Neurospora crassa OR74A: one gene and its partner. The main gene of each other region encodes a partner of the protein of the gene in region 2 in a complex. Links are inferred from orthologs where the notes say so. Each region holds a gene or a part of one and is shown on either strand. Other genes may lie near its edges.

Region 1 (3,657 bases), on a different chromosome or scaffold from region 2:
CGGCGTGGAACAGCGGACACGTGGCGGAGATCCAGGGCAAGACGGCCGAAGAGCTGGAAAAGTGGGAGGGAAGCGAGCAGTTCCCTCTCAACCCCACGCTGTTACTGGGCACAAGCATCCAGACTAGCAGGGCGAGGAGGTGGCAGGTGTTGCCGGGCAGGACGCATCCGTTGATGACGGAGCGCGGTGGTGCGGATGGATATATCTTTACTGGATGGAGAGCGAAGCCAGCGGAGGGCAAGATTGCGGCCAAGGGCAAATTTAAGAGGAGAAAGGTGGAGGAGAGCGTTTCGACGCCGGCTTCGGCATGAGTGGATTGGTCGGAAAGAGTTATTTATGGGAGTTCAAGGATGCCACTTCTCTCCCCGTGCATCGGAAGATCTCACACAGAGGTTTCCACGGAAGCAATGAGGTCGAGGGAAAGTCAGAAAGGAAAAGACAGTTAGAGCGTTTCGAGGCTCGCTTACAGTAGGTGGACTCGACCAGCCGAGGAGGAGTGGAGGCGACCATGGGTTTAAATGATTATGCTTTGTCCATGAAAGGCGGGCAAACAATGAGCAGGAGTCTGATAGTGGTAGCAGTTAGGAGAACCAGCATGACCGATATGCATAGATCTCGTTTGCTCTTAGATACCATTTGCACGAAATAGAGCTGCAGTAATTCTACTAATCGAACGTCAACTGGAGATATAACCCATGTCGCTCATGATCGGGTTTCAAGTGTATGTGTACTCGATCTATGCCTGATCGAACCGGACCACGCAAAAACAACAACAACTGAAAGTCTTGCTCGCTCGCCCCAACACACCCTCACACTCTAGGAAACTTGAAATATTATTTGTGTAGAGTACGTATTATACTTTGGCGCTAAACGATTCCATGCAACGCCATCTGAACAGGGAAGGCATCGCATCAGAGTCCCTTGCCCATGAACTTCCTCTTGGTAAAGCTCAACCACCACTTGCTCGGCTTGTCCTCGGTCTCGTCGTCGTACACGCGCGCCAATAACCTCTGCGCCAGTTCCTGCCGGACCTGCGACAGGTACTGACGGAGGACTTCTGCGTCTTGACGGTCGCGGGGGGGTTCATACATCTGTTTTGCGTCAAACTTATTAGCTGCCATCCATTTTCTTGTTCACCGCCGCGGGCCACATCTACTCCCATCACATTCACCGTATTCTATCTCCGCCCTAAATCCTTTACGCCAAAAAAACTCACCTGATTCAAAGGCCACCCAGGATCGCCCGGCAACGCAAAGTTCACATCCAGCGCCGCATTGTTCACTTCCTTCGTCGCCTCCCTAACGCCATAGTGCGGCTTGATGCGGCCCAGACAGTCGCTGATGTACCAGATGCCGTAGACCAGCAGGCGGTCGGCGGGGCCCTGGATCTCAAAGTTGCGGAAAAAGGTGTTGGCGCGGAAGAGAGCTAGCGTCTCGTCCAGAATGTCGTATGACTCCGAGTCCGGGTCGGGCGACTCGTTGGCGGCGAGCGGAGGGTCCGGGAAGGGGAGAGGGTAGATCGGCCCGCGGATCTTGGTGCGAAGCGGGAAGAGAGGGAAGTTGCCGATTAGGCGGGGGGAGGGGTCGGCGTTGAAGACGGAGTTGTAGGCCTAGAGAGTGGCGTCGTTAGTTGAGAGATTGAGAATGGGAATTTGTGTGTGAGGTGAGGCGAGAGGCGAAGAAATGCGATTGGGCGCAAAGCGGTTCGTGGTGTTGTGGGTGGTGGTGATGCGATCATGGACGAAGCTTTGTCTGACGATTAAGGGGTAGCTGGCTGGCTGGCTGGTATAGCTTGGGGAAGCTATACGCATAGCGGCTGGGTGTTGGGAGCTTGCGAATGGGTGCGCTTACCGGCATTGTGACGGTTGGTGTCAAGCTCCCTCTATGAAGCTATTACCAGATTAAGCAAATGGTGTTCAAGTTGGAAGTTAGGTAAATCTGGGATGTCGTGTTGACTTGACCGCGTCCGGGTTCTATGGCGCAGCCTTGCGGGGTGATGGGGTCAATTGGACTTGGGCTGGCCTTCCTGGACCTGCAGCGTGCCAGCGATGGGCGATGGCGGCTTCTCCTGCGCTGACGTCGAGCTGGCGGTGACGACCGCTGCTTGCACCGTGCCGCTGTGACGGACTCTGTGACAGTAGAGCTGGACTTGGTCTGTGCGTTACCTTTCTATTTGAATTTGTGGCTCAGCAGTGGCTGTGTCCGGACTCCGGATGAGGCCTGGTACAGTCAATGAAGCACTCCCGGTTCCCATCACGTGTAGAGTTACCGGAGCCGGCCTCGTCATCGGACAGGCAGCAGCTCGCTTGACTCCGATAAAGTGGATCTTTGCGGCCTGAAGTGGAGCCACCTAGTCCCGGGGGAATCGGAAGGTCTTGCACAATGCATCATCTGAAGGAGGAGAGCGAATGTGAACAAGTCAAAATGCCACTCCATTGGTATACAGAGGAAGATTCAGTTACACAAAGACTCTTCACGTGTCATGTAGTCAGCCACCGCGTTCGACGTGAGCGCCCGCTTTCCATGCAACTTAAGCTGCTGTGTCTCGGAATCCAGACAAAGAGCAGGACTCCATGCTCAAGATGGTGTTCCAAGGATCCATCCCATCATTACTCATTATGGCGGAATTTTTCAAGGAAGAAGATTGACCGAGGTTCACGCCGTGGTCGAGTCCAACAACCTGGAAGAGAGCCAACACCTGAATGTTGGTTGGATAGGACGAAGTTCAACACCGTGAACGCCGCGCTGCGCCCACCGCTGCCTGTTTGAACAACAGGGGGGCCCGTCGTCAAGGAGAGAGGAGAAGACTCAGAAAGCAGAAACATTGAAGAAACAAGAGGGGATGCCAAGACAATAAGTCACGGGAGCTCGTGTGCTAGCGCGTCGTAGATGATGAAATCAGCCAGCAGTCCAGACTTGGCTGGCTGTTGTTGGCGCAATTGTTCATCCGACGCAAATCCGGCCGGGGACTGCCACACACCCGACAGGCACACCACCAGTCGAGAGCGCTACTACGCTGCTTAGAGGTACTGTGATAGTAGTGTACGCACCAACGCGGAATCAAAAGCGCCGTCGTGCGCCGTCCACTGAGAAAGGGTGATGGAGGGGTATTTGGGGTTCTCCAGTCCCATCACATCACTCACTGCGTCACGGTTCTCTCCTCTACCTACAACTGCCTTCTTCAATCGTTCATTAAAACCAGCCCTCCGCTTCTTCACGCCCAAAGACAAACACAAGAACCCGGACAAACCCCTCCCACTTTTTTGAACTAGGAGGCAAACTTTGATCCTAGTGCTTTTTCCCCCCTCTTTACGGTGACTCAGTCGTTACCAGCGCGACTTGTTTTGGATCGCTTTTCTCCATTCCTCAAACCAAAACAAAACATCATTCCAAGCACCATTCGTTTTCAGGTGAGTTGCTTGCATGTTTTACCGGCGCTGCGAATTTGGTGTGATTTCACCTGTGTTTTGTGCGTGGGGCTGACTTGGATCAACAGAAAAAGGGGACCCCAGAAAAAGGGAACGTGCACTGCAGTGGACGCGCGCATCACTCCCTCCACAAAACGCTCTGCCGATCCGCCCTAGCAGAGCTGTCGCATCCACTCACTGCACTGCGCTCCGCCCATTGAATAGGTCAACAAAAGAAGACGACCTACCTA
Region 2 (3,785 bases):
GATGATGATGATGATGAAGGATGCTAGCGGCGGTGGTGGTGTTGACAGAGGAGTTGGCGTTGTAAATAAAGTCGCTTGGTGATGCGGGAGCGTAGTGGTGGTAGTCTTTTTGTTCCTCTGGTTCTGGATGACCAGGAGGAGGAGGAGGAGGAGGAGGAACATGAACAGGAGATACGGGGTTAAAGTACAGAGGGTGTTGGGGGTGGTTGAATGGGTAGTAGTCGTAGGAACTGTTGTGGTCCATGGTTCAGTTTGTTGTTGTTTGGTTCTTCTGATCCCGCTGTTTCTTCTTCTAACCAGACAACGAAGTAGGCAGGCAGGGAAGATGGAGGCAAAGCGAGGTAAGTTGAGTTTGTTTGGATAGCTGAAAGGGACGGAGTGACGGACGGCTGATTACTTATGGTAAACTGCTTTTGAAGCTGAAGGTCTGGATGAGGAGCGAAAGGATATGGAATAAATAATCGACAGGGACAAAACAATGGTAGGTATGGACATGAATTGTGACATGCACTTCTCCTGCTGCCGGTTATTAGTTCTCTTATGATCCTTTTATGGAAGTTATCACGGCAAATCGGAATGTGTCCGGCAAGCCACAAGCGGAAGTCAATGAATTGCTTTGTATGTATTGAACCTGTATTTGTTCTTGACTGTGTGTCTGATTCACACATACATATCTTGCAAAATTGGCCGGGCGGTCATGACAAACGGATAGCTCACTGTGGAGAAGTGACATGATAAGTCTCTGTACAATGGGTGAATGGACAATCAATCACTTTGGCGGATACCGGGAAGCACGGATAGGGCAGAAATCAAAGACCGGGAAAGTTACCCGCTAAACTGACATTGATGGATCTTGACTTTGAATCTGATTCATTATCAGCCATTCACTCTTGTTCCATTAACATTAGATGTTACGCTTGCTTGCTTGGCTTTTCTGCTTCCCAATGTGTGCAGCAACCCTCTTTCATCGAGGGGAAATCTAGGTGTGCCAGATGACGACTCTGCCGTCAACACCGCTCGCTGTTGTGTCAAGTTAGCATCAATAATTCTTGAAACCACAGGTCATGTAAAAATGGGGAACACTCACAACTAAACTTGGTCACCCGTCCACCACTCTCCTCAAAGGGCCTCAACATAGTAACCGTATTCTGATGCACCGTCTTCAACATGGTATCATCCTTGCTGACCTTACCCTTCAGGTCCATCTGCTTGAACATGTTCAGCGCAGACTCCTCTCTGTCCTCGTCACCAAGACCCGGTCTTCCTCCGGCCTTGGCCTTCTCCAGCGTGCCGGCCAGCTGCCACCCCTGCTCGCCGCCTTGGAAGCGGAAAGCCTCGCAATCGTAACCCGCAGCAATGATCTCAGTCTCTCCGTTCCAGAAGAGGCTCATAAAGGGCAAAAGCTGCGTGTTGATGCTGATCACCGCCTTGGGCGGCTGCTCGGGCGCAGAGGGGTAGACGACGGTGATGGAGGAGTCATGCGCCGCAAACGCCAGAGCGTCGCCGCTCGGGCTGAAGGCAACAGAATGCACCCATCCGGCAGAGTTGTTCAGGAACTCGCCGCAGACCGTGTTGAAAGGCAATCTCTCGCCCCAGGGGCTCGGCTCGGGGCGCTGGTCGGTGCCCTTGATGAAGGCGGAAAAGACGCGGGCGTGGGCGTCGGTGGAGCCGGCAGCAAGAAGAACGCTGTTGGGGTGCCAGGCGACAGAGGTGATGGTGGATCGGATCGGCTTCTTCAGGTGCTTGGATACCCACCAGTCGTTTTCCTCCTCAAAGTAGCAGATGGCGATGACGCGGTCGCCGGAGCCGACGGCGAACTTGGCTTCCGAGGGAGACCAGCGGACGAAGGTGGCGGCGCGGGAAATACGGAGGAGCACGAGGGTGGGCTTGTAGCCGGTGGGGGAGGGTTCCCAGACGAGGGCGTTGCGGTCTGTGAGTTGGGGTTGGTTGTTAGTCTAGCTGACTGTGATGGTGGCATTATGGGGTGCCTGGGTTGCGAAAGGGGGGGCCTACCCTGAGAGCAGGTCACAATACGCCCGGTGTTGGGAGCAATGTCGACGCTGGTGACAAGCTTGTCATGGCCCTTGAGCTCATCCTTGAGCTTGAAGGCATTGCCGACTCTGCCGTAGAGCTCGACCTGGGTGTCGCGGGCAATGGCCAAGGTCTGGCGATCGGCCGAGAAGGAGTGGTCGGCGATGGGGTGGTGGAAGAGATGGTGGACCTCGGGAGCAGCCATTGTGGGTTGTTAGGTTGGTGTTGTGTAGAAATAAGGTATGCGATAGGAGTATAGCTCTCTACTACCGCGCTCGGAATCGGGGACGGTGATGACGGAGAGTGTGATCGAATGTCTTGGTTCGGTGGTGTCGGAGCCGGATGTTGTAATTGGAAAGGGGAAGCTGTGCCCGGGAACGGGAAGCGGGAGAGCTCCGTAACTACAGCGGGCTGGACGCCTGAAATGAGGTCAGACCGCCAGGCTCCAGGGGCACCGTTGCGGCAGCGTATGGTGGTGGGGTTGGCTGCGGGTGGGTGACGCCGCCAAGAGTGCCCTGCTGCCGGCCGGGGCTGACCCACCTGGAACTGGAACCTACTATGGTGAGATGGGTAAGTTAAACCCGTGGATCAGGTCGTCGACCACACAGTGCTCACGAAGCTCTGGCTGTGGTGGTCCGTGCAAGATACCTGACAAGGGGGTTTTACTTTTGCTCGCAACCGCAGTACCTCCAACAAGCTGCACCCACGCCCGTGGGGTTTGTGTACCGATTTCGATGGTTCGTAGGCTGGCTGGCCACTGTCTCCAATTTTTGGACCAGCATCTGAATTGTCGACATCGCATGCGCCGCCGCGACTTGAATTCATGATTGAACACTGAACATCATACACCCGAGCGACGACGACGACGACGACGAGACAATTGACGATATTAACCCCTACCACGAGGCGCCTACGATATACTGAAAATCTACGCGACAATTAACAACCTGCATTGGACAAACAACAACAGCATCAACTCCCGGATTCCTACGCGGCAATGGCTACGCGTATTGCTCCCCCCGCGGGCCTCCCCCAAAAGGTGGTCTCGAACCCGCCAAACCAGACTCTCTACGTCACGAACCTCCCCTCAGCTAAGATCCAGAAGGACGACCTCCGTACAGCACTATACATGCTCTTCTCCACCTACGGCCCCGTCCTCGATGTCGTCGCTCTCAAGACCATGAAGATGCGCGGGCAAGCACACATTGTCTACCGGGACATTCAGACAGCAACACAGGCCATGAGGTCACTTGACGGCATGGAGTTTTTGGGCCGCAAAATGGTAGGTCTTCTCGGGTTGAATATTTCAGCGGTAGCCCTTCACATGCTAACTTGGGTTTGCCTAGAAAATCACCTACGCCAAGGGCCGCTCCAACATCATCGCCAAACTCGACGGTACTCTCGTGCCACCCAAGGCCGCCGCCGCCGTGGCCCTCACCACCGTCCAACAGAGTATCTTTAGTGCCCCAGTACCAGGCGCCCCTACTACGAATACCGAGAGTCCAGCACCACAAGGTTCGCCAGCCAAGCCTCCCGGGACGGAGACAACCACACCGGCAGAGGAGAACCGGGGAACGAAGCGGCCACGGGAGGAGGAGGAAGAAGAGGAGGAGAGCGATTCGGACGTTGCTATGGAGGAAGACAGCGACGAGGACTGATGGGTGTCCACTATGGCATTTGCTTCTTGTTTAAGATACCAGCTCGCGGTGGGGAAGGATGACGAAAAATGAAGGCGCAATGAAGCGGATGGATGA

The links.
Region 1: NCU02781 (region 2) and NCU09572 share a complex: the UniProt entries of both Saccharomyces cerevisiae proteins name them as parts of the arp2/3 complex. The link is inferred for Neurospora crassa OR74A from reciprocal best matches to the Saccharomyces cerevisiae genes ARC40 and ARC18.

The regions. Positions count from the first base shown.
Region 1 is NC_026507.1:962,967-966,623, reverse strand, and holds NCU09572 (ARP2/3 complex 21 kDa subunit), read right to left. Parts: upstream 2,111-3,657; 5' UTR 1,857-2,110; coding exon 1,851-1,856; intron 1,610-1,850; coding exon 1,217-1,609; intron 1,092-1,216; coding exon 912-1,091; 3' UTR 577-911; downstream 1-576. Other genes in the region: NCU09571 (tRNA (adenine-N(1)-)-methyltransferase non-catalytic subunit trm6), read left to right, coding at 1-311. UniProt on the Saccharomyces cerevisiae protein: Functions as a component of the Arp2/3 complex which is involved in regulation of actin polymerization and together with an activating nucleation-promoting factor (NPF) mediates the formation of branched actin networks.
Region 2 is NC_026501.1:9,215,849-9,219,633, forward strand, and holds NCU02781 (hypothetical protein), read right to left. Parts: upstream 2,461-3,785; 5' UTR 2,237-2,460; coding exon 2,014-2,236; intron 1,931-2,013; coding exon 1,088-1,930; intron 1,021-1,087; coding exon 980-1,020; 3' UTR 689-979; downstream 1-688. Other genes in the region: NCU02782 (hypothetical protein), read right to left, coding at 1-244; NCU02780 (U2 small nuclear ribonucleoprotein B), read left to right, coding at 3,029-3,313, 3,378-3,689. UniProt on the Saccharomyces cerevisiae protein: Functions as a component of the Arp2/3 complex which is involved in regulation of actin polymerization and together with an activating nucleation-promoting factor (NPF) mediates the formation of branched actin networks.